Linked DNA regions of Mus musculus: all the other regions are reported to be linked to region 2. The links are microRNA targets in miRTarBase. Many come from high-throughput screens and were not tested one by one. Region 2 holds a microRNA gene; each other region holds the end of a gene's coding sequence.
What was found. Region 2 holds the annotated microRNA mmu-miR-298-5p (GGCAGAGGAGGGCUGUUCUUCCC, at 4,322-4,344, opposite strand). A microRNA usually pairs through its seed, bases 2 to 8, with sites in the 3' UTR of a target mRNA and lowers its output. Matches are read on the target gene's strand: a 7mer-m8 pairs with bases 2 to 8, a 7mer-A1 pairs with bases 2 to 7 and ends in A, and an 8mer does both.

Region 1 (8,018 bases), not on the chromosome of region 2:
AGCTTACTCCTACATCCTCAGCTTGCTCTCACTCAACCTTCCCTTCTCATTTGGCTAGGTTGTGCGACCACAGTGCTGGTGACTGGGGCAGGCATTGGCGAGATGGTCCTGCAGATGCTGGTTGGCTTGGTAGGTGGGGTCCTCTGGGTGTGTGTGTGTGTTGGGGGGGGGGGGTCAGGGAGTACTCCTCTAAGCAGGTGAGAAGATATACCCAGCACCTTTAAGTCTAAGCGGTCACTTCCTGAGTTCCACATAGCTTGAGGAACCCACCAGGCTGAGGCTAGATGCTTCCCTTCCTAAGCCAGCCAGACTCAAAAGCCAGGTCTCTGAAGGTGGGATGTGGAGACCTTAATGACCAAATGCATGAATCTAAAGCAAACAGGGCTGTCTGGGCCTGGGGCCAGGGTGGGCCTATAGGAATGGTGTTGGCTCTCAAAGCCTAGTTGGAGTGCCCTGATGCCGGCAGTGTTCCTAATGCATCCTGCCCAAATCCATGTCTTCCAGTCTGTAGCAATACTACCCAGGACCCCGTTCATGACCAGTGCCTGCCCTGAATACTCCCTAGCTTTCCTTCAACATGACTGTGTTACATTTGTTTCCCAGGAAGTCAAAAGTTAAAACCAGCATTACTTTCCTTGACTACCGCAACACAGATGCCAGTCTTTTCAGAATCCTGAGACATAAATAAATTTAGCAGCTTGTCTTAGGTCAGCTGGCTTTAGTAACAGCCTCCTTTGAATGAAGCAGAGCCTGTGTTGTATTGTCCCCCACAATGCTCTCATAGCCACTGAAGCCTCCTTTCTCTCCTTCCAGCCTGATGGAGAGAGGAAGGGTTACATTCTGGATACATTGAAATGCTCTCTCTGGGGTCTGATATGGTGTACTTGCCTGCTTGCCTCTCTCTCTCTCTCTCTCTCTCTCTCTCTCTCTCTCTCTCACACACACACACACACACACACACACACACACACACACACACACACGCACACGCGCACACACACACACACCTTCCCCAGAGTTCCACTTAGGCTTACAGGTATAGAAACATCTTACATGTTTGAAATGTCAATGATCACATGGTGTCTTCCAGGAAGTTTTAGAACACAGGGCTGAAAGAGTATATGATGTATAGACAGGTTCAACCCTGGTTGACTGCAGGATTTATGTCTTCACCAGATTTGTAACTTTGGGGAGACCTTCCCCACATTCCTGCATCTGGTAGGATGGCCCCAACTTGACAGAGAAGCCGAAAAGGGCCCAAGGCAGCCATTTTTCCCATGCACTGCCAAGTGGGATTTTAATGGCTGCTGTGTTCCTCTCTGGCAGATCTTTCAGGCCCAGGGCAGTTACAGTTTCCTGGTCTGTGGTGTGATCTTTGGCTGCCTGGCTTTTATCTTCTACATCTTGCTCCTGTTTTTCCACAGGATACACCCTGAACTCTCATCAGGTAAGAAGAAATTTTGTTTCTACACAGACGGGGGAAACAGGAGGGCGGGGGAAGAGCGGGATCCTAACGATCGGAAGTGCTGCTCTGCTCCAAATGAAATGCAAGGAAGTGTTTGTTTTCCTACGGCTTCCCTTTCGCCTCTTCCTGATTTCCCTGTGATTGTCCACTGGAGTCTGAAGGCAGCAGAGGGTGAACAGGCTGACTCACGGCTTCTCCATTAGCAGAGGGGCACAGACAGTGAACCCCTTTACAGTGGATCCTAGTGCCAAAGTCTGAACCCGTGAGAAGGGAGAGCCTGCCTCCCTGGCTGGAACCTGGCCCAGTGGCCTAACTAGGCCCTTTCTTACAGTTTAGGGTTTTGACTCTTGTCCAAATTGCTTCTTCAAAAAGGACATTTTTTGGGAGGGGGGGTGGTGGCAAAATAGCAGGGAAGGGTTCCTTCAGGATAGAGATACTCCTAAGGATAGTCTCCATCCTGGAGACCCCAGGTCGGGATCGTACCAAGGCTATTTTTGTAACTGTGTGAGTCTCTTGCCTAGTGACCACAGCCATGCATCAGGCTGTTCTCAGCAAATGAGAGCTAGTGCTGAGCCAGTGCTCTCTCTTTGAAAACAGAATACAAAAAGATGGAAGAATTGCCCACAGCCCTCTCTAAGTAGCCATGTTCACTTTAAATACTAAGTGCATAGTCGGACATGGTGGCACGCGCCTTTGACCCCAAAGGCGGGGTGGATCTCTGTGAGTTTGAGGCAAGCCTGGTCTACTGACTTGAGTTCTAGGTCAGACAGGGTACACAGTGAGACTCCATCTCAACAAAAACACAACATGACAAAAACAAAAATTGGCTACAGCCAGAGAGAAGTCATACCGCCTCTCAGAACAGCCTCTGGGATGGCAGGTGGTAGCTTCTGACTAGCCAGTTCCTTTATAGAGAGCATCGCTTAACATATACAGTCAAGATGGCTCAGCATGCATGGGTGATACTGATACCACCAAGACTGAGTGCAGTCCCTGAGACTCACATGGTGGAAGGAGAGAACTGAGCCCTGTAAGCTGTCCTCTGACTTCTACATGAATCCTGACTGTAGCATGCACACTCCCCCACCACACACATAATAAATATCCCAATAAAGACTGCCCTTGAAGAAAATGAAGAGGAAGAGGGGGAAGAGGAAGAGATGATGATGATGGTGGTGGTGATGATGATGATGATTGTGAATATCAAATGTTCCTTTCTTATGGGAGACAAACAGTTTTTTTCCCCCAGCCCTAGATATCAGTCTCACTGTCTCTATTAGCACTTCACCAGAACTTGATCTTGATCTGACTTCCCACAGTGCCGTGTGTGTATTGTGTGTGTGTGTGTGTGTGTGTGGCGTGTGCTCTTGAGCGCACACACATACATGTGTGCACCTATGAGACTGTGGCTGTACGTGTGCCCTAGTGCACCTAGAGCTAGACTAGCAGAAAAGCATACAGCTTGCTTGCTCTCAAGAGCTAAATGCTGCAGAGGAAGCTGGGGCCGCCCACATTTGCTACCAGTGTTGTTTATGTTTTCTTTTGTAGTTCTTACCCAAGACAAAGCCCTTGGTGTGGAGAACCCTGAGTGCTACCAGAGGTGAAGAGCTGAAGAGCTCAGCTCCTGAGCCACAGGGTGACCAGACTGACACAGGAAGCCAGGGTTGCACAGGAGGCTGCTCTTGCTTGTGTCTTCCTTCCCTGAGTCTTCCCTGGACAAATCGAGCACCTGCCTGACACTTTAGTTATCTTCCTCTCTGGTCCGGACTTGTTGTCCTGACAACCAGACAGGAGGATGAAAGACAGCCCGCACACACCTCTCCACACACCACCCCACGCATGGGCTAAACTCTGGGTTTGAGATCACGTTTAGTTGAAGTTTGAAAAACATGCTAAAATCCTAAGTCATTAACCACTGCTAGGTGTAGATATATTTTAAATCAATCAAGCCCCTCTGGCATGTTAAAAAAGATTTATGTGTTCTTCACTTACCCATGGTCCCAAGTCCCTCACATCCGTCCTGCAGAAATCAGTTTATTTGTGTCCTAAGACAACAAAGGAAATGTTGAATCTTGCTTTGAGACCCTAGTCAGTGTTGCATTGGGCTAACTCAGACAAGCTTTAGAAAGTTGACTGTTAAATTTTCATTTTGAGAGCTAGTAGGCATGACAAAGACTTAAATTATTATTTTTATTATTATTGAGATGGTATTTCTCTGGGTAGCCCCAGCTGTCCCAGAACACATTCTGTAGACCAGGCTATCCTGGAATTCACTCTATAGACCAGGCTAGCCTCAAACTCACAAAGATCCTCCTGCCTCTGCCTCTCAAGTGCTGGGATTAAAGGTGTGTACTGCCACTACCTAGCTTTAAAAAAAAAAAAAAAATTGTAACTAAACAAAGGTAATTCTCCAAACCTCACTTTCTAATTTTACATGGCAGATGCTCCTGAGCCCAAGAAGCAGCTCAGATGCTGCTCAGGAGTGTCCATGGCACCAAGGTGGTGACATTTCTGTGACAGAATACTGCTGGGCTCCTCCTCTCAGATCTCTGTGACAGCCTGCTGGTAGTCCAAGGTCAGCCATGGCCCAGAAATGGTGAAAGCCGTGCCCCTGGGAACAGATGGGTTTCCAGCGTCTTTCTGCTAACGAGCAATGCTAGTTGGTTCAGAAAGTGCAGGGAGAATGAAATGGACAGTCTGTTGTTCTTTACTGAGATCCTCAAGGTACAGAAGAATTTTTTTTAAAAAAATAGCTCATTTGGTATTTTATACCTTTTATAGATGAAAATTTTATACTGTGTCAAGGCCCTCCCTCCCTCCCATATAAATCTAGGACTACTATATAATTCAAGCCATGCAGTATACAGAGAGCAGTGTCAGTATGCAGAAACCAGTGTCTGTCAGGAGTGCCCTCTTCTATACAGAAGGTAGGTTAGTAATCCAGAGAATACAAGAAGGCGGCTCACCAGCCCGGGCAGGGCTGGGTGCAAGGCTTCTGGCATCAGCGACATGACATGATTTGTCTCTGGGAAGTCTCTAGGAGGAACAAATGTCCTGTTACAGTCATTGGTTTAATCTGTACATTCTCTGTGCATATACATGTGTTCATGTGAGCATGGACTCATGGTCCCAAGGGCTGTAGTTCACACACTAGACACCAGCAGAGCAGAGGTGGGCCAGGTTATCAGCCTTCTAGCTGTGACTCCAGAAGCCCCCCATCCCCCACCTCCAGCCTTGCTTGTTTTTACCAGTATGATGGCATTTCTAAAAGCACCCTACCTCACAGGAATTCTGAGAGAACTGAGAGTGTGTGGAGCATCTGCTGCATGCCCTACATGGGACCTGCCTTCCAAATGTTCATGGTTTTACTTCTATTCTTTGTAACACCTCATACGCAGCTTAGACGTCATCTCCATTTGGTACAAACTTTAAGTCAAATTTAACTTTGAAACGCCGATGGCCTAAGCAAATCCTTTTAACTATATTTATAAATTCATTGAAAAGTACCTCATACTAGCCATATTAAAATCTAGCTGGGCAATCTAACTATGGTGACTGACCTGGGCAAAGAGAAAGTGGTTGTATTTTTCTTGTAGTTTTTTTTTCAAGAAAACATCCTTTTTATACAGATCTAGAAAGAAGAATCACTGCTTATACCTACATTGGTGATGATTGATGTGTTAATATAGAAAACTCAAAAGAATCTCATACTTTCCTAAAATAAAATATTTTAAACCTAGTAAGTGTGTTATCCATCTTGAAGGGCAGTCGACCCTTTATACTGAAGATCAAATGGTCTAACGCTCCCCAAAGACAGGTCTCTCTTAGAGGTTCACGTGACGCACATGCACACACTCTTGTGCACACACACACACACAAACACACACACACACACACACACCCAATATAAGATACACACATGACAACTATGTATGTATGTATGTATGTATGTATGTATGTATGTATGTTATGTATGTGTATATGTATGTATGTATATATGTACACCTTTGGAACTTGGGGCAGGGCTAGGGGTGGTACCTGGGGTTTCAAGCATTCTAGGCAAGACTCACCACTAAGCCACACTTCTAGCTATCAAGAGTGTTGTAAAAAAACAAAACAAAACAAAAAAAAATAAATAAAAAAAATAAAAAGAAAAAAAAAAAAAGAAAAAAGCCGGGCAGTGGTGGCGCACGCCTTTAATCCCAGCACTCGGGAGGCAGAGGCAGGCGGATTTCTGAGTTCGAGACCAGCCTGGTCTACAAAGTGAGTTCCAGGACAGCCAGGGCTATACAGAGAAACTCTGTCTCGAAAACAAAACAAAACAAAACAAAACAAGAGTGTTGTGATGTCTCCCTGTTCCCAGATTCCTTCTGCAGACTTGGGGATCTAAGCCACCAGCATACCTTGCACACATTTAAAGGAAGGTATAGTGACACAAAGGGTTCATTTGTTTTGTTGTTATTCATTCGTTTTGTCTTTTTGAAATGGGTTTTACATTGCCCAAGGTAGACTAGATGCCATGTAGTTCAGATGATCTTGGACTCCCGATTTTCCTATTTCCACACCCCAGGTGCTAGGATGACAAGCATGCAGCACCAAGGCCAGCCTGTGTGCACCTGGGGATCCACTTTAGAGTACACCAGGGAGGCAAGCACTCTACCCATGAGCGATAGCCTCAGCTCACAAGTTTCTTACAGAGATTGCGTTTACACATTAAAAAAAAAAAGATCAAACAGCCACCATGTTCAAAGCAGAGGCTCAGGTACAGTTTCAGCAATGAATGAGAAGTCCCTGCCTCACAGAGACTTCAAGGTCAAAGCCATAGAAACAGCAAGTAAATATATAACATGTTATAGGATGATAGAGTACTGTAAGAAGCAGCAGGGGTGGGCGTGGGAACGGCAGATGTTCGGGCTATCTTAACAAGAGGACATGTGCTACACAGGAGAAAGCCAGGCGGGTGGGTACCTGAGAATATTCCTGCCAGGTAGAGGCTACAGCAAGGGGAAGGGCCTTGAACTGGAATGTTCCATAGAATCTGAGGAGCAGCTGGCAGACTGGTCTGGACAAACTGCAAAGCAGGCAGACAGTGGCAAGAAACAGGGTGGCATGAATGTGGATTTTTCTGGGGGATGTGAGCTTACCAACAGACTGTCACATGGCACGGTTCACACATTTAAAACCGTTACTCTGGCTGTTTGAAGACAGTGGGGCTGAGGTAGGCTCAGATACACTGCAGGGCTGGAGAGGTGACAGTGACTTGGACCATGCTGGAAGCAGTGGAAATGGTGAGGGCGAATTCAGTTGGAAGGTCTGTCAGAATTTGCTGATGGACTGAGTATAAGAGAAGGGTGCCAGTCTCAAGCTGAAGGCATCTGACCTATGCCCAGGTGTGAGGCATTTTGAGGTAGGCAAGCACAGGGAAGACTCTACTTGGCTATACATACAGTACTTAACAAGCTGAGACCCTGCCAACATCAGGCTGCACACCCCTTCTTAAATAAAGCAACTGGTAACTCTAACCTGGAGCGCCCTAGCCATCCTTAGTAACTTCCCTTCTGTGGCCAAACACATCCTGAAACACCTTGGGATCTGGAAATGTGGGCTCATCCAGCCTAAACTGGTTTGGGGAACATAGACAATAAGGCAAACTATGCCCTACAAATGAAGTCTTAGGGAAAAACCCTACTTACCACCGTGCCTATGCATGATTGAACGAATATGATGAAGATCAGATGTATCATGGGAAAGGACATGTGAAGTAAACTCAGGTTTATGTAACTCATACATGTTATTCCATGCCTGTAGAGGTCAGGGGACAACTTGAGGTGTTGGCCCCTGCCTTTCCATCTTGTCTGAGAAGAGTTCTTCGCTGCTGCACAGCCAAGCTCACTTCTGGTGGATTCTTCTGTTTCGCCCTCCCATCTTTGGGAAGAGCAGCTGTTCCCAACCTATGGGTACACTGTAGCTCTCTTCAGACACACCAGAAGAGGGCAACAGATCTCATTACAGACGGTTGTGAGCCACCATGTGGTTGCTGGGAATTGAACTCAGGACCTCTGGAAGAGCAGTCAGTGCTCTTAACTGAGCCATCTTGCAAGCCTGAGGCCATATCTTTAAAAAAAACAGTTCTGCACATCAGTATATGATGCTATCCTGGATATCAAGCCAGCTGCTAGACTTGGTAGCCAGAGTTTAAAGAGAAGTTATATAGCTTACAGTGTTCAGAGACAAGGAATGAAATCTCCTAGTTAGTGGTTGCAGGGACTGAGAGATCGAGCCTGGGGGTTCTTCAAAACCTAGGGGTTTAGAAAAAGAACTGATGTAGTAAAAAATTAGAAGCCAGAGGTAGGAACCCATTCAACAGTCAAAGTGGCTTCCTGGAAGGTATGGGAAGAGCATCTTAAGAAGACATCAGTGCTTGTGAGAGATTAACAGGACTAACAAACACTGGGCTAGATGGGAGAGGGGCTTAGGTAAATGACCAGTGTGTTCAAAACATATGGGAACAACACTCACAATCCAGTACCATGGCTGCATCTGCTAGGAACCT
Region 2 (8,018 bases):
GGGTGACATAGTCTTGTGGGCTGTTTGCCCTAGCAGAGTAGAGAGTGACTCACCATCCAGGAAGAGGGATGGCTCTGGCTTCTCTGCCCCTCCTCCAGCCTTCCTAGGAACCTGTCCTGGAGGAGTTTGCTCTAGGGAAGCTTAGGTGGTTACATCACTCCCACCCTCCCCCTGCCTTGAACACTCTGGTCCTTGGCAACAGGCTGAGGACCCCCCTTTCTGCTGACCTGTGGGCACAGATGTTCCCTAGGTGTGAAGGCACAGACCACAGATGGCTCCATTTGCAGGCAGGTGCCAATGCCTGGTACTCGGGCACATTTGTTCTCTCAGAGGGTGGCATCAACCCAGAATCACCTCAAATTACATGAACATTCTGCCTTTCGAGAAAGTGAAGAATTTCGGGGGAGTATAGGGAGGTATTTTGGGCAAACAAGGCCTCCTCTGAGATCCGTCTGCCAAGTGATCTAGGCTTTCCTCTGCTTGTGGGAAACATTGCCAATGGGCAGGCTCATAGCCCTCAGATGGGGTGAGCTCTGCTGGATGGCCCCTGGCTGACCTTCTGAACATATAGGTTCTCCTGTTAGAGGCAACCACAGCCTTTCCCAGAAACATCCCAGTCTATCAGCATTGCCACGCCCAGTGCCCAGACTCATCAGAGCCTTCAGACTTGCCTACTGCCCATCAGGGCTCTTGCACATTGATTCGTCTCAACACCTCATCAGGGCCCTTCCTCCCCATGGCTCCACATCGAGGTACTAGACTCTCTCTTCTTACCCAAAACACAATGGCCTAGTGAGGGAACATCAGCTGTTCTGTCATTGTTGTGCTCACATGAAGATGCTGTTGCGTGTATAGCCAAGTTCGCCATGCGTGCACATATTACCGTGTGGCTGCAAACCCTGCTTCATCCTGAATGTTCCTAGGCTCAGCGGAGGTTTCCACCTCTGCATTGGCTCTTTCTAAGGCTCATGGGGATGCTCGCTCCTGGGGAACCAGGCAACAGGCCTCATGAGGCCCCTTTACTGTTCATGATGGTGCCCATCTCACTTGGAAGGAGCGACACCTATTTGGCTGGCCTGACTATACAGCTCTGGAGAGTTGGGCTATAAGTTTACATATATGGAGATGTGTATTATAATGGATTCTACGGACACATTGGAATAATGGCCTTGAGCTACCACGCCCTTGCCAGTTCTGCTCATGTTTTGCTAGGTGCTCAGAAGACAGCCTTTCTCTGATCACTGGATCACGTCACAACACCCCGCCCTGTCCCATTCATACCCCGAGAAAACTTGATCCTCTCCAAATTCCCTGCTTTCTGTAGCTTGTTTTGAGTCCTTTGTAGGATGCTCTTCAATGTTGACAACGTTTGCTCTAGCAGTGTCTTTTCATGTTGGGTTGACACAGGGTACTCGCTGTACACAAGAGGTTCCCAGGAATGCCAGTCTGCACTGTTCATTGAGACTCTGGCTTTTCTTCCACAGGAGGTTGCTCGCTGGAGTGAATGGCAGTAACCGCAATTCCTCTGTGTTTTCTCACATTCTATTTACCCATTTGCCCCCTTAACGGCTCATGGATTTTTAAAACATTTTTTTGTTTGTTTGTTTAAACTATTATTCTTTTGTGTGTGGAGGTCAAAGCACAACTTTGTGGAGTCGGCTCTCTTCTTGCATGGGTTCTACGGATGGAAGGCAGGGAGCAGAACCTCTCAGCGAGTTTCAGACATTTAAATGCTGGGTTATAATCCTGGACAACAATTGGTTCAACTGCTCAGTTTTGACTCTTGGTAGCACTTACCATCAAACTTAGGTCACTCTGAGCTCTACAACAGCACATCCATGCTCCAGGTTCATCCAGTAGTACTAAGAACCACCCATTTCCTTCCTCAGAAGTTGGATCCCTTAGTTAGTAAATGGTCTTTGCACCAAAGTCTAGGTAGAACAGGGAGAGACATGGCCATGCGTGTGCATGCCTGGTGAGTCCTACCTACTTTGTCTGTCTGTCTGTGAATGAAGGGAGACTTCCTTATACCACTGGAACCTTTGCTAGGCCACAGGTTCTCATACTTAACTGTCCCAGGCAGCAGGATAGTTAGACAGAGTTGAAGACAGGTGACAACCCACATGCTATATGTATTTTGTTTCCTTTGAATTAATTTGTAATTAAGTTAGGTAAAAAAATCAGTGCAGCTAACAGACACCATGATCTCCCAGTAGAGTCAGTCATTTGTCCCCAGTATGATCTGGGACAAGGTCTAAAAAGCTTCTGCTGTGACAGGATGGGGGTAGTGGCTTCTGGAATCTAGTGAATACAAGCCATGGGAATTCACTTCCTTTCGTGCTCAAGAGGCCCCCAGAATCTCAGTCCAGCCTCATGAGACCAGTGGCCAGGCCAAGGGTACACATGACTAGAGCTAAGGACCCCAGGGGATCCTTGCTCAGAGAGCAGCTGCCCCTTATCCAATTATGTTTTCTCCCAGAGTCTCTCCTGACACATGTGGTGATTTTTGCAGTTCTTGATGCCAACCATTCTCTCCCACTAGTAACACAGCCAGGAGAGTCTTACCTCTTTGTCAAGACAATGGCTACAGACAAGGAAGAGGGTGGGAAGATGAGTGGCAGGTAACACTAAGAAGGAGGCTCAGTGCAGAGGAGTGTTGGAAAAGCAGAAACAGCAGGCCTGAGGACAGCGGCCTATGGCTGGTGAGTGAGTAGCTTGTTGGGGCTTCCCAAAGGAAGAGAACTGAAGTTTATAGAATTCATATCTGAGGGTTTTACTCTAGCTTCTGCTCACGAGACGGCTGATACACAGCCTCCCATTTGGGCTTCACAGCCTTCACTCCCTGTTTAGTGCTTAACCTGCACTATTGGTTTGAATCTTCTTCAATGTCTCTCTATCCATCCATCCACCCACCTACCCGCGCATCTATCCACACACTCATCTGTTCCCCCTCCTACCCCCCATCCCTCCCTCCCTCCCTCCCGCCCTCCCTCTATTCAGAGTTTACTGTACTCTAAATGAAAGGTGCTCCAGCCCTCTTGCAGTTGAGTTAAATCTAATTAATGGGAAGAGACACTAAGAAGCAAGATCAAGCCAGGTGTGTGCTAGAAGCAAGCTGGTGAAGTGGGATGAGTGATGGGCACACCAGGCAGAGCTGGGTAGAGCGCAGAGCACAGATGAGAACAACACCAAACAATCTTTCTTCGTGAATTTATTAGGCAGATACTGTGTCACACTTGGGAGAGGCTGGGTGTGAGTAACTCAAAACTGGGTGCCTGACACCCTCCCCCCCCAGCTCAGTCTTACAGGGGTGGTTCACCAAAATGCCTTCTAGACTGGACACAGCAGTTTATGCCAGAAATGCTGGAGTCTAAGGCATAAGGATTCCAAGTTTTAAGGCCAGTATGGATAATTCAGTGAGATCTTGTCTCAAAAATAAATAAATAAATAAATAAAAAAGGGGGGCTGCCATGAAGACCGGTGTGGATCTGACTGATGTCCATCCCACTCCTGTAGGAAAGAAAAGATAAGTGAAAGGAAAGCAAACAACCACATCAAGGAAGGTCTGGTGCTAGGAAGCAAGTTTCCCAGCCAAGGATACAGAAGAGTAGGGAGATACTACACAAGGTGGTACAAGCCCAGGGAAGCAGGGCACTATTAGCCTAGAGCAGACAGGGTGGGGTCAGGTCTCTGGTACCCCATGAGCACTAACTGGGGGGCAGGACTAGTCTAGCAGAGGCTGCCACTGGGATCAAGCCAAAGACAGCAAGCATTCTCTAGAGCCCCAAGGGACTACTTACCATGCGACGCTCTGCGGACACCTTCAGGAGAGCCTCCACCCAACCCTCTGAAGCGAGCACAACAGGATTGAGGGGGGGCCCTCCAGAAAGGCCCTCTTGTCACCTTCCACATAGGCTGTTCTGTGTGCACACAGATGGAGATCCCCTCTTAGGGGCCCTGCCTCTGTCTCCCCAACCCCAAGACCCTAGGAGGGTCTCTTTCTGTAGTCTCGAATGCCCACTAACCTGGATCTTGGCCCGCTCACCCGCTTCCCAGCTACGTGCGCTCAGAAGCCACTGCATCGACAATGGGAAGGTGGCAGTCTTAGTAGTAGGCTCAGGGCATTATGACAAGACCTCAAAGTTCTCCATGGCTTTTAGAAACATCTATCTCTGACTCCACCAGCTACCTTGATGGGTGGGGGAACTTAGAGGATGAGTTCCGTGTGTCAACCAGCAACATTCTCCTGGAGATCGGAAGGAAGCTGTTGGCCCACTCCTAAGCTGAGAGAAGGCTAGTTCCTCCCAGTCATAAAACTCAAGGGAAGAACAGCCCTCCTCTGCCAAAGGCCTGGGCCTCTTATGCCTCTTGGTGTCTCTTTCAAGCACGGCAGGAACGTCCCAGCCTACCTCAAATAGCTGTGGTGCTCAGGAAGCAGTCAATTGGGCAGGAGCTAGTTAGTGGGGGTCCAGAGACACTCATCTCATGGCCAGATCTGTCTATGACCACTCCATCCAATGGACTCACTCACTTGCATGTAGTAGCACAAAGAGGGCCATGGTGTGGCAAGTATCCTGTACAGTAAACCCTCTTGTTCTATCAAGGTGCCATTATGAACCAATCAAACCATTTCTAAGCAGCCCTGTAGATTCCCACGCTCCAAGAAGGATCCACCTTGCTGGGCCTCTGCTCCAGCAAGACCCACCTCCCAACTCAAATGCCCCACCCCATGGGTGCTGACTGGGTCTCTGTGAGGTGAAAAATCAATCCATACCTGAGGAGGAAGAACCCCCAAGTTCTCCTACTTAGCAAACCTTTTCCTCAGGACTGAATGTTGTGCTCACAGCAGAAGCAGCTGAAGAAGTGCAGGCTCCAATCCTTGAGGCTCCCCATCACACAAGGCTTCAAAGGCAGGACTGTGCTGAGAGCTCAGAGGTGCTTAGAACAGAGAGATGGGGTAGGGAATGTTAAGACATAAACAAAACAGACACACAGCCGCTAAGGTCATAGTTTTAAGCTCTTCAACTTAATGGTTCTGTCCTAGTAGCCAAACAGCCATCAGAAGACATATTTATGGGCAATCTTTTGGCTACTGTCTGACCATGTGAGACACAAGAGCCATGTTTTTGAAAACACAGGTCCTTTTCTAATGAATGCAGGTCGTTAACGAAATAGGCTTGGAAGTCATCTTCTAAGGCCTTTGTCCATGACCCTAGACAAATCATCTTCCCAGAGTTCACTTGTACGGGGCCCTCAGCCAGGGCAAGCACTGAGGACAAGAAATCAAGTCTAGAGACTTCAGAAAAGGCTTCCTTTCTCTTTTCTGAAACTCTTTGGTTGAGCAGAGAAGAGAGACGGAGCAGAGCCATCATGCTCCCACGGGTGCAGTAGAGCAACAGTGGGAGGCAGAAGCAAACAGAAGAACAGTGAGGCCCATCACAGAAAGACACATCTGATGGACACCCACCCACCCTTGATCCCAACCATCAACATGGACAACCAACCCAGGCACCCATAGGTAACAAGGCTGGGACAGCTGGGGATGGTGTCAGGCCCAAGAGCTGCTCAGCACAGAAGGGTCACAGGAATCCTGCGCTAAGTGGCTCTCAGAAAAGGGGTGCATCACCACCAAGCTGTGAGGGGCTGAGGTACTTTGTACTCCCTCTGAAGTCCTCCCCCCAGAGGAAGAGCACAGTTTTAGTGTGAGCCCTTTGCGGAGTCCTCTCCCCTCTGTGCAGTTGTTCCCAATACATCTGACTTGGCGGCTAGAGATGTGGCTCCAAGTGTTGGCCATATAAGCCCCTTTCCCATCACTCAGAAAACAGAGAAATGCCAGGAGGTACACGTAGCTCTCCAGGCTGCCAAGAAGGTGAGCTGGTGACTTTAGAGGTGCTGCGAGAGAAGCTACTGTAAGCGGGCCCCATCATCTTCAAGGACACTCTAGAGTTGTTCCTTCAAAACTGTGTAGCACTCAGTCCAGCTCTCAGCTGCAAGGAGAGAGGATGCTCTGTATCTTCACTTGGGGTGGATGTCTGTCTTATCTGTCCAGCAGACTACAAAGACCCATCCCTAGCTACAGGCTGAGTTGCAAAAGAGCTGAAGATCCCACAAGTACGAGGGAGGGTGCCTCTTGCTTACACTGTCAGAGGCCCCAGAGAAAGCCTCTCTGACTTGACCGTTTCGGTGAACATTGCCCCAAATCCTCATTCGAGGGTAGCTCAGACCTCCATCAGCCCCAGTCACCCCTCAGCTTCTGCTCACATGAAGAACCACTTGACTCCTGAGTGTACCAGAGCCCCTGCAAGGGCAGCTAGGAGCCACGAGCCACTCCTCCAAGTAGACACCTCACATGTGGCCCTCAGTGCTTGTTAAGTGTGCTCCTATGTGCCTTCCTATAGCTCCCAGCCAGCTCATCCCAAACCTATGCCCTCAGCCCCAGCGGCTATCTCCCTCACAGCTCTGCTGCACCGAGGTCTCTGATGGCCTAAACTCAGCTCAGCCTAAGTATCATCTTGGACCCCCTTCAAAAGGCTTTTCAGTGCCCGCCAGGGTTGGAAAATAGGCTCTGGACACCAGCTACCCCCTCAGTCAGAAGCGGGCTTGACTCCTACTCCTCAGCGAGGTGGCCCTCGGCAAGTTGGGAGCTCGGCTGCAGCTAGGCTTCTCTCTAGTTGCCATGAAGTTGAAGTGAATTAAATGAACACGTAGTCCCCCAAGGCCTAGGCCTCTGCGCTGCAGACTCTACAAACAGGTCAATAAGAATGAGGCCTTCTGAATTACTAAGGCTGAGCTTGGAGCAATAAGCAACTCACACAGCGACATAGTGACACAGTGCCATCCTGAAGCCCACAGGACTTAGGCCTTGGGAGATAGGGATCAACCAAGTCTCACTGTTTCCAAGAAAAATACCTTTTCCCAAGAAGCAAGACTGAGCCGGGGAGAAGGAAATGGAGGGAACCCAGGAGACATAGGGTAGAGATGAACACAGGAGCCTCCTTCCCTGTCTGCTCATATGCTGAGAGAGGCAAGCTGCAGATACCAGGACCTTCTTGGTGACTTCTATCCTCTCTATGCCAGGCTAGGCCCTACTCAGTTGGGGTGAAGGGAGGCCCAGGGACAGACAGCTTAGATGTTTTGTTGCCATGGCAATTGCCTAACTCTGTGGTACAAGCCACAGGTTACTAAGGGGCCACAAGGAGGGAACCAGGCAACTGTGCTGGATTATCAAGCCTATCCCAAGCCCCAATGGAAGTTCATTGTTTATCCCCTGGTCTTCTCTTTTGCAGACCCAGCTTATGTTCATGAACAAGTCTCAGCCTCCTAGACCAATGTCATAGCAAAGTCAAAGATCACGTGCCCAACAACTCAGCTTTGACGGCCCGTGTTCCTGGGACAAGAACAGCTGCACTACTTCAGAAAAGGCAAAGGGCAAATGCCTACAAAAGCCAGCTCCCTCTTCAGTTGAGTGACAAGGTTGGCTGGTAGCAGGCACCAAAGCTGAACAACAGGGGGCGGCCGCCCCTTGCCCACAGCCATCTGCGGACACGTGGATGGCAGATTCAGAGGACCAGAGGCTCCTTTATGTTATAAATTAAGTATCTGATTATTGTAGTAAAATCGAATATCCAAACATCAATGAATAAGCTATTATTATTCAGACAGAAAGAATGGGGGGAAATGCATGGCTAAAGTATCATTTATCTAGACAGAACTAGGACCAGAGGGTGTTTTCTAGTTCTGATCTTACAATGGTGGGTGTTCAAATTTGCTCGTTCTTTCTGAGGTCTAGGTCTTGGTCTGTGTTACTTTGGACCTATTCAGCTTCTTGCCTAGAGCCCTAAGGAAAAATGCAAGAAGCCCTAGGAACACCTTGACACTCATTTCTCTTTGATACCAGAATAGGTCCTGGCCCACAGGCCTTCTCCCTATCCAGTTCCTGTGAGAGTCGGTTTACCTGGGTCTTCCTGCTCTAGACTGTCCTTGAAGCTTCCTCAGCCCTGCCTGCACTTGGCCCCAGC
Region 3 (8,018 bases), not on the chromosome of region 2:
CAGGTGGATCTGCAAGCGGGAAGGCCAGTCGGCCTAGCTTTGGAAACCATAGCAATGGACGCCACTTGATCCTCTCCTTTCCCAGGCCTAGCCAGCATGACCCAGCACCTGGAGCCTATTCTGAAGAAGCAGGATTGGGACTGGACGTAAGTCCTGGGGACTGGACCTTGGGGGTGGGTGCAGGTAGGGGGAATATCTAAAGGCTAAATTCTGACCAGTTGTGGGTTTCCTGAGACCATCTCTTCTCTCCAGACTCCCTGTGATCAAGTTGGCCATCCGCCTTGGGCTGGCGGTGCTAGGCTCCCTGCTGGGCGCCTTCCTCATTTTCCCTGGCCTGAGGCTGGCCCAGACCCACCAGGACGCGCTGACCCTGTCTGCGGACCGACCACTGCTACAGTTAGGCGGGTCTCCCAGGGTAGGATTGGAGTTGGGCTAGAGGCTGGGGGTGAGGAGCCTGATCCCACTGAGATGCTTGTCCCCAGGCTGCTCCTACACACCAGCTTCCTGTCACCCCTGTGCACCTTGTGGCTCTGGACAAAGCCTGTCGCCCGGGACTTCCTGTACCAGGCACCCACAAGGAACATGACTTTCTCTGTGTGCGTTTTGGGGGCACTGAGGGGCCTGGGGTGCCTGAGGCCATGGCCTGGGAAAGGAGGGCTCACCCAGACTTCCTGCCTGCTTCACTCTTGTTGCAGACCGTCAGAAGGGGCTTTCGACTCTCTGCGCCTCTGGGTGTTGGTGGCGCTGTGCCTGTTGCGCCTGGCAGTAACCCGGCCACACCTGCAGGCCTACCTGTGCCTGGCCAAGGCTCGAGTGGAGCAGCTGCGCAAGGAGGCTGGCCGCATTGAGGCCCGTGAAATCCAGCAGCGGGTATGCACCCTGGGTGGGATGGTCCCGGTGCTGAGGGGGCCTAGTCGCAGGGTCTCTGCCCTGGGAAGACCACCCCTTCTACAACCCCCACTGTCTCCCCCGTTAGGTGGTCCGGGTCTACTGCTACGTGACTGTGGTGAGCCTGCAGTACCTGACCCCGCTCATCCTCACTCTGCACTGCACACTGCTGCTCAAGACCCTGGGTGAGGGGCTGGTGGGAAAGAGCATGGGGCCAGGGGGTGGGGACAGATTTGATAAGGGTAGGATCTTCAGATAAAAGTGGAGGTGGGGGGTTTTCTGTTCGAGGGCAAAGTTGGCAAGTAGAGGTGGGGACATGGCCGGGTAAGGGTGGGGCTAGCAGATAAAAGTGAGGGCAGGGTTTGGGAAAAGCTACAGTTAAGACCCATAGGCAGGGAGGTTGGAGGCAGGGCCAACAGACAGGGGAGGATGGAGGCCCCCTAAGGCCTGCGGGGTGTAACCTAGGTGTGGGCGGGGTGTGAGAGCCTCTAGATTCCCACCATTATGTCTCCACCTATAATTCTCTTCTTCACTCCTGCAGGAGGCTACTCTTGGGCCCTGAGCTCTACTCCTCCCCCACTGGCCCCATCCCAGCCCTCAGAGGCTTTGATCCCTGTAGACCCTGCAGGAGATGAGGCCCAGCAGACTGCAGCCCAGGTTGCAGGGATCCTGGGTGGCCTGCTCACGCCCCTCTTCCTCAGAGGCATGCTGGCTTACATCATCTGGTGGACAGCTGCCTGCCAGCTGCTCTCCAGCCTCTTCGGCCTCTATTTCCACCAGCACCTGGCAGCCTCTTAGCAGGAAGGCACTAGGCTCTAGTGTCTGATTCCTGCCCACCAGGATTGGGACTGTTCCCTGTGTGTGTGCCTTGGTGCCCCTAGATGACATAAGGGTTGGTGTGGGGACTCCCTACCATCTCTCTCACTTCAGTGCCTAGATCATAAACCCCTTGAAGCAATCTCCCCTGGGCCATGATCCCCAAGTGTGTGTGTGTGGAGGGGGCACGTTTTACAGAAATATCCCAGAGACTGGGGGATGAGCAGGGGAGACCTGGATAGTGAGAGGGGCCTGGGAGAGAGTGGAAACCTCAAGATCAGAGGTGGCTAGGAGAGCTAGGGGTGGGACTCTGGCCCAGCATCCATATAGCCCCGGCATCTGTCAGTATCCCCAGGAGGGAGAGACAGTAGTCTCCATGCCTGTCTCCCCAGCACACTTGGGGAAGCTGAGGTAAGAGGGTTAGCCTAGACTAGTAACAAGACTATGTAAAACAAGAAGAAAAAGGGGGCCGGGGGAAGCTTGAAAGGGAAGAGAGGGAAGAGGTTGTCACCATCCTCCAAAGCTGTGAGGATGACTGCTGTGTTTTGAGGTCTTGGTGACTAAGGGTCACCTCCAACTCCAAAGTTATTTTTTTGCTATGACTTAGTGTGTTTACGTGTGTATTTATGAGATATGTGTGACCTTCCTACATATGTAAAATGTGTATTGAGAATAAAAAAGGAGGGCTTCTGCAATGCTGCCTTACCATGGTGCCAGTGTGGTCTGGCCCAGTCATGTTCAAGAGCCAGTGCTCAGTCAGAGCCTTGAGCCTCTGGGTCTCTGTCCAAGAGGACTTAGGAGTGTGACTGCCTATGTGCTGTGAACACAGGTGCTGTGAACACAGGTGCTGTGTATGATACAATAGGTCCATGTGTGAGAGCAGGGATCAGAGGACAACTTAGCATGTAGATCCTAGCCTTCTACTATGAGACAGGGTCTCTTGTTTACCTGAGTCCCTCAGGTCAGCTGTCCAACAGGCTCCAGGGAGTCTCTGGTTTCTGCTTCCCACCTTGCTTGTAGGAGTGCTAGGATTATAGACTAGTGCTGCTGTCCCACTTTATGTGGGCTCTGGGGACTTGAACTCAGGTCTTCATGACTGCAGCAAATATGGCTGACGTGTGTGTTATGAATCAACAGGATGTCCTTGAAGGGCTATCTGGAGTCCCTGCCTCCCAAACTGACCCTGACAAGGGCTGCAGGACCTTGTGGAAGTCTCATGGGAATCAGGGATGCCCATGCTCTGCTGTGGATTTCAGAGTGTAGGGGCACACGACGTACAGGGCCCCACCTCCTTCAGCTACATGGCTCAGGGCTGACTGGGCCTGAGCTGTGTTTCAGAGCAAGGTCCTTAGGCTTCTGGCCGATGCCCATTTGCTGAGCATGATGGAGTATAGCTGATGACTCCAGAGGTAGTTGGGCCAGCCAGTGCTATGCAAGAACTAGAAGCCAGCATGGATTATATTTCTCAGATATTAAATAAATCCGAGCCATGTTGTTGGCAGATTTAGCTACATGGTTACTGTATTCCTGGATCCTTATCTTTTTTGTACTGGCAAAAAAACCCCAGGGTCTTTTGTATAGTAAGTGCTCCACCCTTGAGCCACGCCCCCAGCCCCTCACTGGGGGATTCTAGGCTGGGACTCTACTGCCCCAGTCTAATGTTCCATCTTTGGCCATCAATTTCATCCCCAGTAGCCTGTGTCACATTTACATCTATGAACAGAAAGTTGCACAGAGCACTTGGACAACACACCTGCAATCCTCAGCTCTCTTTCACAAGGATGGGGGGGGGGGCTGGAGAGATGGCTCAGAGTGAAGAGCACCGGCTGCTCCTGCTGATGATCCAGTTGTGCGAGCACCCCATGTGATCATCTGTAAGTCTAGACTAAGGATCTGCTGGCCTCCTCCGGCACTAGGCCTGCACAGTTATGCAAAGCACCCATACACAAAATGCCTTTTTAAAGTAGCAAATAGTGGCCATGCAGTGGTGCTGTACACCTCTAACCCCAGCACCCGGGAGGCAGAGCAGAGAGGCTAGCCTGGTCTACAGAGCAAGTTCCAGGACAGCCAGGGCTACACCGAGAAACCTTATCTAGAAAAATTAAAAACAAAAGTGCTAAGTAGCTTGACCCCGTTCATAGAGTGGGAGGTGGAGCCAGAGTTGAAGAAGTAAGAAGCAGGAGATATTTAAAATTTTATTAAATATACTCTGTTGGCACAAATCTTCAAAATATATAAACATTATATATAAACAAAGTGTCTTTATGGCATCAAAATAGAACTCCAGACTGGACAGTGACCACGGAGGAGGGCAGCCACAGAGCTACTGGACAGTGACCATGGGGGAGGGCAGCCACAGAGCTACTGGGGGGATATGGGGAAGCAAGAAGATCAGGGACCCAGGACACCCTCACTTCTCCTGCCCTGCTGGTTGCCTGATGCAGGGCTCAAGCCAACCATCTACATGGTGCAACCTGCTGAGGTGACCCAGGAGCCTCAGTCACCTCCGGCCTCCTGGTAAGGGATGCCTAGACTCTCCATCCCAGGTGGGGAAGGGAGTGGCAGTACACTCACGAGAGGACAGTCCCTCTCAGCCACCAGAGGCTGCCGGGGGGGGGGGGTGTCTGGGGACATGGTGGGGATGGCCCATCACTATCCGCGGAGGCTGAGAGATGGCCAAGCGTCACAGGCACAAGGTAAGAAATATAGAATGAACAAAGACTGCAGCAAGAATTGCAAATGCCCAGGGCTCGAGCCACCCTGCTCAGGTCCTGCATGTGAGATGGCTGCCATCCAGCTGTGGGAATCAACACCCAGATCACCTCTGAGCCAGAGCCACATTGCATAGGAAGGGTAGGGGTTTTATGTGCAGACCTGGGGCAGGATAAGTTGAAAACTAGAAACTAAAGGTAGGTGGGGCAGTGGTGGCGCACGCCTTTAATCCCAGCACTTGGGAGGCAGAGGCAGGTAGATTTCTGAGTTTGAGGCCAGCCTGGTCTACAGAGTGAGTTCCAGGACAGCCAGGGCTATACAGAAACCCTGTCTCGGGAAAATAAAATGAGAGAGAGAGAGAGAGACAGAGAGAGAGAGACAGAGACAGAGAGAGAGACAGAGACAGAGAGAGAGAGAGAGACAGAGAGAGAGAGAGAGAGAGAGAGAGAGAGAGAGAGAGAGAGAGAGAGAGAGAGAGAGAGAGAGAGGAAGGAAGGGAGAGAAAGAAAAAAAAAGAAAAGAAAAGAGAGTAAAGGCAGGAGGGCTGCTCTAAGTTGAAGGCTAGCCCAGATAACACTCAGAAGCAGGACAGCCAGGGCTTCTGGCTAGGACTGTCTCAAAGACCCTAAATCAAGAACCCCAGACACCAGGAAAGGCAAGAGTTTCCTGTGACACCTAGGGAACCCAGTGTGTGGGGGGGTTCTCCTTGTGTCAGCTGGCTGGTGGTCCCTGGATACCCCAGCCTTTCCCTGCTCCCCAGGTCATGGATACATCTGTACTCATTCACACAGGAAAAGCCACCCACCCATCTTTGGGCTTCATGTGGCCTGGCTAGATGACAGCCACAGAAGGCAGTTTCAAGAGCTTGAGCCCTACCTCCATGGATGCTGTGCATATAAGAAGCTTTGGGCCTGCATTCGGCCTGATTGGTGTACTTTGGAAGACACCCCAGATCAGTGATACCCACATGGGCATTTCCAGTGGGGTCTGAACTTGACACCCCTGTCTGGTGGCCATAGGGCCTCCTGGAAAGGTACAAGCCAGGTAGTTGGCAATGGTCAGGTGCAGCCCTCGGAAATAGGATGGGCACAGTGCTCTGGGGAGAAAGCTATGTGGGCAAGAGCAGCCATTTGTCACCTGGGAGAGGATAGGCAGGCATGGTGGAGGATTGAGGAACACAGGTATAGCCACCACTGAGCAAACTGTGACCCTCCAGTGTGTGGCTTAAAAGGAATTGCTATCACATCTGCAGGCCAGGCACGGTCATAGCAAGAAGGGATGGGCTCTGAGCCCCGGGTGCCAATGGGCACTAGATCAGCAGCAGGTCAGAGGACACAGGGCCAGGAAGTGCAATTGACCCATTAGGGGCCTTTGGGTAACACCTCAGGAGACTCACCAGCCAATAGCAAGGAACTGAAGGGAGGGGACAGCCAAGATCCATCATCACAATGTCACACCCTGAGGACCAGCACTTCGCTATGGGCCCTACAGCCCCAAGTCAGGTCCCGTCCTCCTGCCCACCCTCAAGGTACCACAGGGCTGCGAGCACACAGCTGCATGCCCCTGCTCGAACAGCTCACCATCCACTGTTGTGTTAGCCTAGCTCTGCAGCCGGCGCAGCAGGATCTGCATGAGGTCGAAAGTGGTGAAGCTGATCCCCACGGCAATTGGGCCCTTCAGCCAGTTCATGCTCAGGCCCTTGTAGAGGCCCCGCACCGCGCCCTCCTCACGTACAATGGAGCGTAGTGTGCTCAGGATGGAGCCGTGCTGGTGGCCCGTGACACCTGCTGTCTGCATGCGCCGCCGCACCACGTCCAGAGGGTAGGAGGCCGATTGCCCGATAAGGCCAGCACAGGCCCCGAAGACCATGCGCTCAAAGGGGTAGGGCTGCGGGCGGCCACTGTACTCTGCAGGGCAGAGGGCACATGAGTGCCACACTTGAAGAAACTAAGGCCCCGCTTCCTGGCCACCCTTTCTTAGTTTTGATGCTGGGAATGGGACCCACATCCTAGCCTAACACAACACACACTTTGCAGCAGTGAGACTTACACGGTGGCCCAGGCTATCTATGTAGTAGTTTCCCCTCACCTATTGGGTACAGGTCCCCATTCTGCAGTTTTCAGTGCCCCATCATCTGTGGGGATGAATCCCAAGATTCTCCATGGATGCCTGGACCCTTAGAGTACAGGGCTACACAGACAGTTTCCTCCTACATGGAGGACGTGCCTCTGCCTGACTTTCGTAAGCTAATGAGGACTGTAGCGATGTGCAGGGACAGCTGTGTGAGTGTAGTCTCCATCTTAGTGTCCTGCTAGGGACGTCGGGGCATCTACTGCTCCATCTAGAGCCCTAGCACAGCCCATACCACAGGAGAAGAACAGCCAAGCATGCTGCTGTGGATTCTCAGATCATGGCGGCCAGGGATCAACAACCACCTGGTGCAGGTGCAGCACAGGCTCAAGGAACCTCTGATGACAGGTTCTACTGTCAGTTGGTGTTCTGTGACAGGAGTGTCACTGGCTAGCCCAGGCTGGCCTCCACCTCCTGCCCTGGCCTCCTGAGTGGGACAGCAGGCATGAGCCAGCACACCCATAGACTGAAAGGGTCTCAACATCCTGCACTTGTGCTGTGTGCAGACTTTCTTCTTGTCACTGTTGCCAGCTGAACTCAGTGACTACTGTGGACAGCATCTCCGCATCCAGGCGGCCTGCCTTACTGCCGAGGGTGAGCTGCAGGAAGAGCGACTCTACACCTGACTTGAGACATCACTGTGCCACTGCACAGAGGGGATGCAGGCGCTGTGGACTAGGGGGCCTTGAGGGTCCAAGACACTGTCCACACACATTGAAGGTTTGATACACGGTCTTGTTAGGTAGCACAGACTGGCCTTGAGCCTATAGCAATCCTCCTGCCTCATTCTCCCTGAACGCTCAGATCACAGGTGCACCCACCACTCCTGGATTCTGAAGCCATCTCCAGAGTGCTACCCACAGTCCCAGTGAGAGGCTTCAACTGTTCTAGATCGTTAATGTTTAATGAAACACTGGGGGGCTGGGGCTGCTGCCTGTCTGCAGGGTGCTTCCCTCAAATACAAGAGGCCCTGGGTTTCATCCCTAGCACCTCATGCGTGTGAGAAGCAGGCTTGTGACCCCAATGCTGTGGGGAGGAGAGTGAGGCACAGTTTAAGGTCTTGCTCAGCTACAAGGCAAACTTGAGGTCAGTTTGTGTTCCACAGTGCGACCCCCGCTAAGTAACTGAATGAAAATGGACACATGAAAGGTTGCAGCCCAAGCTCCTGGGTCCCACTGGACAGAGGGTGTCTTTTGAATTGGGCTCTGGATCCCTGCCTGACCTCCTGTGTGGCTCTGGATGATAGGGTTCACAGGGACAGCTCCCCGAGGCCCCATCTCTTCTCTCCATCTCCCCTTACCTCGGTGCAGGCTCTTCAGTGACTCGTACGTGAAGAAGCTGAGTCCCGCATAGGGAATGACACCCAGCACAGTGGGGGTGAACCCGAAATAGAGGGTCTTCAGTCCTTCCTCTCTCGAGATTCGGATGAAGACATGAAAGATGTTGCTGTACCTACGAAGACCATGTGATAG
Region 4 (8,018 bases), not on the chromosome of region 2:
GAGAGAAGTCTGAGGTTTGATTTCATCAATTTTCAAAATGCTATTAATATTGTGCATTTGTGTACACGTACAAGAACGTCCGTGCTCATGAACGTGTGGGGGCGTGAAGGCAACTTTGTGGAGTCAGTTCACTGCCTCCACCGTTAATGTTATTCTGAGAATCAAACTGAGGTCATCAGGCCTGGGCAGCAAATGCTTGACCCACTGAACCATCTCACCAACCTGCATTTCAGCATCTTCCAGTTCTGTAACTTTGGGACCTCGGTTTCTTCCTGTAAGAAACACTGTAACTACCACATCACTTAATTCCTAGCACTTCAGTGAAGAGTAAAGTTTGAAAGTTTCCAGGGTGTTGTTTTAGAAGCCACAAGAGAAGAAAAAAGACTGTTGTGAAAGGTTAGCCAAAAGTCCTTTTGCTTATAGCCCAGAGGACACTGGGACTCAGGACAGGCACAGTTCTTGTGGACAGTGCCAGTCCAACCACCCCGAAGGCCATGAGCAGGGAATGGAGAAAGGAAAATACAACAAGCATCTTCCCACAGCTTTTGTAGGGAACCAGGACAGGGAACAAAGTCTTAGCTAGCACAGCTGAGGGCCCAGGGCTGTGAGAAAACAGAAGAGCCCAGAGCAGGGAGGACCCAAGGAGGACCAGCAGAGAGGTTTACAGGGAAGGAGGCTGGAAGTATGTGTGGGAGGCCATCCCTGGAGAAAGATAGTGGGCAGCATCCCAGACACAGCCAGAGGGTGGCCGCTGAGATCATGTGGTCCTCTGAGAGCCTGAGCCTCCAGGAACAGAGGGCCTGGGGAGGGAGGAGGCTTTCTTGCTGGAGCTTCTGTTTTCTCACTGCAGTATGGAGAGCTGAGGGGAGGGGCATGCATGTGGGGTGGGGGTGGGGACCAAAGAGTCTGAGGAGGTAGGAGAGGATGTGGGGGAGGGGGCTCCTTTGGAGAAAGTGGAAGGCAAAATACCAGTGATTGTGGCAGAATTGAAAGGCCACATCGGTGCTCCTGTCCAGTGAGAGATCAGACAGCAGGAATGTGTGTTTTCCTTAGTTTCTTGGGTCCATTGCCTCAACAGTTTAGTGGCCAATGTAGCTCCATTCCTCCATGGTGGCTTTGAAAAGAAAATGCTGATGTTGGCCCAGGGTTATTTGACTTTCTGGCTAGGTCTACTCACTGCTCAATACTGTTCCTGGACTAAATCTCCATTTTTCATTTGTTTCTTTCTCAGGTAAAAGGACCTGGAATTGGGCTGCTTGGGATTTCCAAAGGGGGTGAACTTGGCCTTGCTATGGCCTCCTTCCTGAAGGGCATCACAGCTGCTGTGGTCATCAATGGCTCCGTGGCTGCTGTTGGGAACACCATCTCCTACAAGGATGAGACTATACCCCCTGTGTCCCTTCTGAGAAACCAAGTCAAAATGACCAAAGATGGTCTCTTGGATGTCGTGGAAGCTCTGCAAAGCCCTCTGGTAGACAAGAAGAGCTTCATTCCCGTGGAAAGGTCTGACACGACCTTCCTGTTCCTCGTAGGTCAGGACGACCACAACTGGAAGAGCGAGTTCTATGCTGATGAGATCTCCAAACGCCTGCAGGCGCACGGGAAGGAGAAGCCCCAGATCATCTGCTACCCAGCAGCAGGGCATTACATCGAGCCCCCTTACTTCCCGCTGTGCAGCGCTGGCATGCACCTCCTGGTGGGTGCCAACATCACCTTTGGAGGGGAGCCCAGGGCTCATGCCGTGGCCCAGGTGGACGCATGGCAGCAGCTCCAGACTTTCTTCCACAAACAGTTGGGTAGCAAGAGTTAGGGACTGTCCTCTAAAATATAACCTATTAGTTGATGGTTTGGGGGAAACCTCATATATATTATCACAATGTCAGTTCAGGTTAGTTCATTTGAACATATTCTAATTTTTTAAAGTTTCTTTCTTTTTTCTTTTTTCTTTTTCTTTTTTTCTTTTCTTTTTTTTTTTTTTTTTTTTTTTTGAGACAGGGTTTCTCTGTGTACCCTTGGCCGAGACCAGGCTGGGCCTGAATTCAGAGATCGGCCTGCCTCTGCCTCCCAAGTGCTGGGAGTAAAGCCACGCCCAGCTTATGTTTTTTCTCAATATAATAAGTGCCTATGAAGGACTGAGGATATATAGAGCTTGGTGGTAATGCATTCGTCTTTCTTCCATAGTGCCCAGAATTCATTCCCCAGTGCCGTAAGACGACAAAGAAATTAAAACTTTCTTATAAAAATGTGCCTGTGGACCTGGTGAGATGGCTCCGTGGTAAAGGTGCTTTCTGCCAAGCCTGACAACTTAAGATTTTTTTCCCCCAGGGTCTACATGGTAGAAGGAGAGAACAAACTCTGACAAGTTGTCCTCTGACACACACAAGTGCTTGTGCGCGTGTGCGTACGCGCGCACGCACACACACACACACACACACACACACACACACACACACACGCGCACACACACACCACATGTGTAATTTTAAAATGTGCCTATCCAAAAAAAAAAAAAAAAAAAAAACAGAATTCTTTTATGTCATGAATTAAGGGGGAACCTTAAGTGTAAATATTCTTATTAAAATAAAAACTAGCTCATTATAGACAAAACTATGTTGTCCTTCCTTCAATTCTTGGGCCAGTGTTCCCACTCTTGTCATCCTTCCAGAAGTGGCTTTTGGGTGACTGTTCAGATACTTAACACACGTCTAGCAGCAGCGAAGAAGAGAAGGGGTTTTGTTTGTTTGGGTTTTTTTTTTTTTTTTATGCACACATCCAACAAGAACATCAATTTTACAAAGCAAACCAATGTTGGGAAGAGAACCTCTTGGTGTTTTGAGCTCTGTCATGGTGACATGAGGGGAGGATGAACATTTAGTCCAGGAGGCAGCAGAGCAGCTGGGGAAGGAAACAGAAGCCAGGAATCCCATGTGTGCCAACCTTCAGACCTGTCTTCGAGGCAGGGAAGAGGATGTGTGTGAGCAAACGCTCTCATTCCCGCACATTTAGGCCACAGCCACCTGCCAGTCAGAGAGTGGTCAGCACAGGAGGAGGGATTTCTTTACCCATTGCTAGGCTCATGCTTGATCCCCTATAACACAAGACAGGCAGTAAAGAGACGGCTATAGAACCCGAGTCAGAGTTATTATTTTTCATCACATGTGTGTCCGTGTGTGTCTGTGCAGGTGCCCACAGAGGCCACATGATTTCAGTTCCCCTGGAGTTGGAGTTACAGGTGGTTATGAGCTACCTAATATGGGTGCTAGGAACCAAACTCTGGTCCTCTGTGAGAGCTCGTAAGTGCTGAACCTTCTCTGCAGCCTCTGAACCATGTTTAATTAAACCATGTTTAATAAAAGGGTTGCATGAGCTGATTCAGTGGGAAATGGGACTGGCTACCAAGCCTGACAAATGAGTTCAATCCCTGGACCCCACCTGGTGGAAGGAGAGGACTGATTCCAGCAACTCGTCCTCTGACCTTCACACGGGCACCATGGCACACGCCTGCCCCCCAGTATACAGATGAATCATTTTTAAAAATTCAAACTGTTGCCAGGCGTGGTGGTGCACACCTTTAATCCCAGCACTCGGGAGGCAGAGGCAGGTGGATTTCTGAGTTCGAGGCCAGCCTGGTCTACAAAGTGAGTTTCAGGACAGCCAGGGCTACACAGAGAAACCCTGTCTCGAAAAACCAAACCAAACCAAACCAAACCAAACCAAACCAAACCAAACCAAACCAAATCAAAAACAAAAACAAAAACAAAACAAAACAAAAACCAACAATAACAAAAATCAAACTGTTGCATGGCATGAGAGCCTTCAGAAACTAAGACCCAGGTCTGGGGGGTGGGCAGAGGTGGCTCAGTTAAGAGCACAGTAAGCATGAGCCAGAGATCAAGGCAGATTCCTCTAATAAGCCTGAAAGTCATCAGGCTTTCTGCTTCGGGGTCCTGCCCTGAGTGCCTGCTCAGTGCTGGACTGTGTCCTGGAAGTGTTAGCCTTTTGCGTCCCACTCGACGGGCAAGAAAGACGCAACAAACCGGAATCTTCCACAGCAAAAGCTTTATTGCTTGCTTCTTCAGGAAGACCCCAAACCGGGAAAATGGCGCCGTTTTTATAGCCTGCAGCGTGACATTTCAGCACCTGATATGGCGTGACAGCTCCTGATTCGTTGCTCGCCCATCACCCCACTATTACACCTCGAGAATAGGAGTGACTAGGAGTGAGTTCACTCTCGCACCTGCGTACAAGGCTTGTTTACTAGTTAGGCACAGCGGAGGCCAGCGCCATCTTATAATGGTGATTGCTCTCGGCACGGCTCTCCACAGCGATTACTGGCGGCACGCACCTCGTGGCACGGCTCTCCACATTAGCCAAATAAACCCTTTCCTCCCTAAGTGCTTTTTGGTCATAGCATCTGTCACAGTGACAAAACTCAAACATTAGGTGGCAGAAGCTGGGAAGGTTAGCAGGGGAGGACAGTAGGACTGGCTGGTTATGGGTACAGTGGAAGTCTAGATTCTTGGGTTCTGTAGCACAGTATCTATCGCACAGATCGATTTTTGTTGTTGTTGCTGGAGATAATATTTTTGTTATTTTATGTGTTTTGCCTGCACATATGTCTGTGCACCACCTGCATGTCTGGTACCTGTGAAGGGCAGAAAGGGCATTGGATTCCCCTGGAACTTGACTTACAGATGATTATAAACTGCAATGTGGTTGCTGGGAATTGAACTCTGATCCTCTGGGAGAGCAGCCACTGTATTTAATCACTGAGTCATCTCTATAGACCTGGTGCTGGAGATCAAACCCAGTACGAGCAAAGCATAGAATCTACCATTATACCCTTATGGTGGTTTGAATAAGAGTGGCCCCATAGGCTCATAAATTTGAATGCTTAGTCATCAGAGTGGCACTACTTGAGAAGGATTAGGAGGTGTGGCCTTCTTGAAGTAGGTGGTCTTATTAAAGGAATAATGTCACTGGGGGTGAGCTTTGAAGTTCCAAAAGCCCAAGCCAGGCCCAGTGTCTCCTCTCTTCTTCTGCTGCTTACAGATCCAAGTGTAGAACTCTCAGCTATTTCTCCAGCACCCTGCCTGTGTGAGGTCGTGCCTCCTGCCATGATGATAATGGACTACGCCTCTGGAACTATAAGTATGCGCCAATTAAACGTGCTCTTTTATAAGAATTGCTGTGGTCATGCTGCCTTTTTACAATAACAGAACACTGACTAATACAACCCCCAAACTCCATAGTGTATTTCAAAACAGGAAGGATTTGAATATTTTCTTTTTCTTTCCTTTTTTGTGTGTGTGTGTGTGTGTGTGAGAAAGGTTCTACATTTTATTGCTGTTCAAACCACACCCCCAATTTAAACATAACTAAGTCCCCGGGTTAAGAATGTTGAGCTCCGTCTGGTAGGACGGATCGATCAACGTGGTTCAGTACAAACCCTCAGTCTTGCCATTGTGTGAATCCTTACAGACCCTGCTTACTTCTCCTCTGGCATCTCCTCTCAGAGTTGTACCTGATTTGGTTACCAGTTTCCACCTGAGTCCATTGAGGAATAGTGTGATTTTGCTTTGGTTTCTTGGTCAGGAATCTCTTGACTGGGAAAGTCTTGTGAGAAGACCTGGAGAGAAGCCGGGATGGGGAGATGGTGCATGACAGCAGAGGCTCCAGCTGGAAGAACACGCTGGAAGGATTTTGAATATTATCAGAGAAATGATAAATATTAGCAGTAACGAGTATAACAATTACACACTTGAACATTACACACATTACATATTCCTCATAAATATGCATAGTCATTATGTATCAAAAAGAATCTAAATCCACTGGGCATGGTGGTGCAGGCCTTTAATTCCAACTCTCCAGGCAGAGGCAAGTGGGTCTCTGTCAGTTCGAGGCCAGCCTGCTCTACAAAGTGAGCTCCAGGACAGCTAGGGTTATGTAGAGAGAGCCTGTCTCAAAAATTAAAAAAAAATGTTTTAAAGAAAAGAAAAGAATGTAGATCTACATTAATTTCTGATTTAGTCAATGAATGAATTAAAAATGATCAGTGTAACTTCATAGATGTGGAGGGGCAGGAACAGAACGAGGAACTGAGAAAAGCTTGGTGGGTGGTTATGTCTCCTTGGCCCTGTGTATGCTTGATGCTTCCTGTCTGTTTTGTCCTGTGCATACTTCATGCTTTGTGATCTCTTGGCTGAGGGACGTTAGAAATCTCCAGTGCAACACAGCAGAGGGGGACAGCTGAACTTGGATAGAACCCATATCAGACATAACTGGAGGTTGGCTCCTGCACTTATGTGTGTGTTTGCACATGTGTGCCTGCACACACAGACACACAGATACACGAACACACACATGCATGCACACACAATAAAATATCTCATAAAAAAAGAAACAGTCTGAGTTCTGAAAATCGGTGGGAGGTTTCCCCTACCTGAGAAGGCAGCACCCTCAAATGGATGCCCTGAGAGGAGGAGACTGCCCCCCTCTAGAACAACCTGTCTAGGGATGTGATATTTTAAAGATCATGGTAACTTTCACCCTGATTTGAAAAAAAAAAAAGCTAGTAAGTTTTGTTTTTTTTTTTTAAAAGATTTATTTATTACATGTAAGTACACTGTAGCTGTCTTCAGACACACCAGAAGAGGGCATCAGATCTCGTTACAGATGGTTGTGAGCCACCATGTGGTTGCTGGGTTTTGAACTCTGGACCTTCAGAAGAGCAGTCGGGTGCTCTTACCCACTGAGCTATCTCACCAGCCCCGCTAGTAAGTTTTAAGGCCTGGGAGAAAATAAAGTATTTCTAAAACACTCAGGTAGGCGCACCCGGCCATTCTGTGTGATGTCTAAGCCAGGAGGCTCACCTGCCAGGACTGTGCTAAAGTCAGGGAAATTTGACGCTCTCCCTTTCCTTCCTTCGTTTGCATTTGGTGCTCATCAGGACATTTTGATGCAGCAATACTTTGACAAGATGGTCTGAAAATCGGCTTTGTCTATTTGGTGGGAAAGAACAAGAGGCGTCGTCACCCAGGTGGAGCCTTCAGATTGCAATTCTTTCTCTGCTAGTGCTCAGCAGGGCATCAGATCTTTCGACAGAGACTGACAAAACTGGAAAGATGTGTTCTCCTGGCAGCAGGTTCAAGCCGAATTCTGTACCGCGTGATTGCCAAAGGAGCCTCATTTAAATGTAAGGAGAGGAACGAGCTGTGACAAGGCAAGCACAGATCCAAATCTTTCTCTATCAGACTTGAAGGCAGATGGTTTGGGGTGGTATAAAACAAAACAAAACAACAAAAAACAAAAACCCTGATATTGCAAGAGAACACTCGACCTGAGGAGAAAACTGGAGCTAGAGCTGGCAGATGGGAGATATGGGATGAGTCGTGTTTGCTGGCTGGTTTCTTGGCTTCACAGAAAGAAAACAGGACAGACTGTGAGCATCCATGAGACTCCCCCACACCACATTCTTAAGCTCTCCACTCCCACAGGAAGCTGAAGGGCACATTTGTTTAGTCCCTCTCCATAGGTTATCCCAGAGTGCCAGAGGGGAGAGGATGAAGCAGGTGTAGGCTATCAGCAACTGCAGGGCTGGGACCGAGAAGAGGCCCCGAGACTGTCTGGGACATCTAGTGCCACGCACAGCCTGACTGCATGAACCATTCACATGAAGGCAGAAGGACAGACAGATTAGACTGAGTTGGGACAGTCTTCTGGGGGGGAGGTCTCCTGGAAGGGGAGTTAGGAACTTGCTTTCTGTCTGATGACCATGGAGGCCACAAGGACCCCGATTCTAGGGGATGTGAGAACAGCTGCAGTCAAGGCACCAGGAATGATTAAAGGAGGCCTTGACATCAGTTCGAGGTGGCTGTCCCACTGCCCAGGTCACGCTTCACTCAGATGAAGAGAACGGACACTCCCGTTCCCCCACAGACTCACTGCCCCCTAGTTTCTGAATGTTTCCAGCAGAATGGTTGCTGGGGGTGGGGAGTGGGGAGCACAGGCCCAGT

Region 1: miRTarBase lists Mfsd4a as a target of mmu-miR-298-5p. Seed matches in the 3' UTR shown: 7mer-m8 at 3,782-3,788.
Region 3: the mRNA of Slc25a42 is a reported target of mmu-miR-298-5p. Seed matches in the 3' UTR shown: 7mer-m8 at 4,662-4,668.
Region 4: miRTarBase lists Acot2 as a target of mmu-miR-298-5p. Seed matches in the 3' UTR shown: 7mer-m8 at 2,055-2,061.

Annotation. Positions count from the first base shown.
Region 1 is chr1:132,033,969-132,041,986 of GRCm38, reverse strand. Mfsd4a (major facilitator superfamily domain containing 4A) reads left to right here. Exons shown (of 10, transcript NM_001114662.1): 8 at 59-129; 9 at 1,327-1,447; 10 at 3,014-5,204. The coding sequence ends at 3,069. Among named protein-coding and RNA genes, the nearest start is that of Mfsd4a, 30 kb to the left of the region's middle.
Region 2 is chr2:174,263,232-174,271,249 of GRCm38, forward strand. It overlaps Mir298 (microRNA 298), which reads right to left and starts at 4,354; the gene lies at 4,273-4,354. It overlaps Mir296 (microRNA 296), which reads right to left and starts at 3,894; the gene lies at 3,816-3,894.
Region 3 is chr8:70,180,454-70,188,471 of GRCm38, forward strand. Slc25a42 (solute carrier family 25, member 42) reads right to left here. Exons shown (of 8, transcript NM_001007570.2): 7 at 7,847-7,998; 8 at 3,887-6,323. The coding sequence ends at 6,016. Tmem161a (transmembrane protein 161A) reads left to right here. Exons shown (of 12, transcript NM_145597.4): 7 at 86-146; 8 at 253-396; 9 at 483-596; 10 at 696-870; 11 at 977-1,073; 12 at 1,430-3,228. The coding sequence ends at 1,686. Among named protein-coding and RNA genes, the nearest start is that of Tmem161a, 12 kb to the left of the region's middle.
Region 4 is chr12:83,991,271-83,999,288 of GRCm38, forward strand. Acot2 (acyl-CoA thioesterase 2) reads left to right here. Exons shown (of 3, transcript NM_134188.3): 3 at 1,232-2,607. The coding sequence ends at 1,810. Among named protein-coding and RNA genes, the nearest start is that of Acot2, 7.4 kb to the left of the region's middle.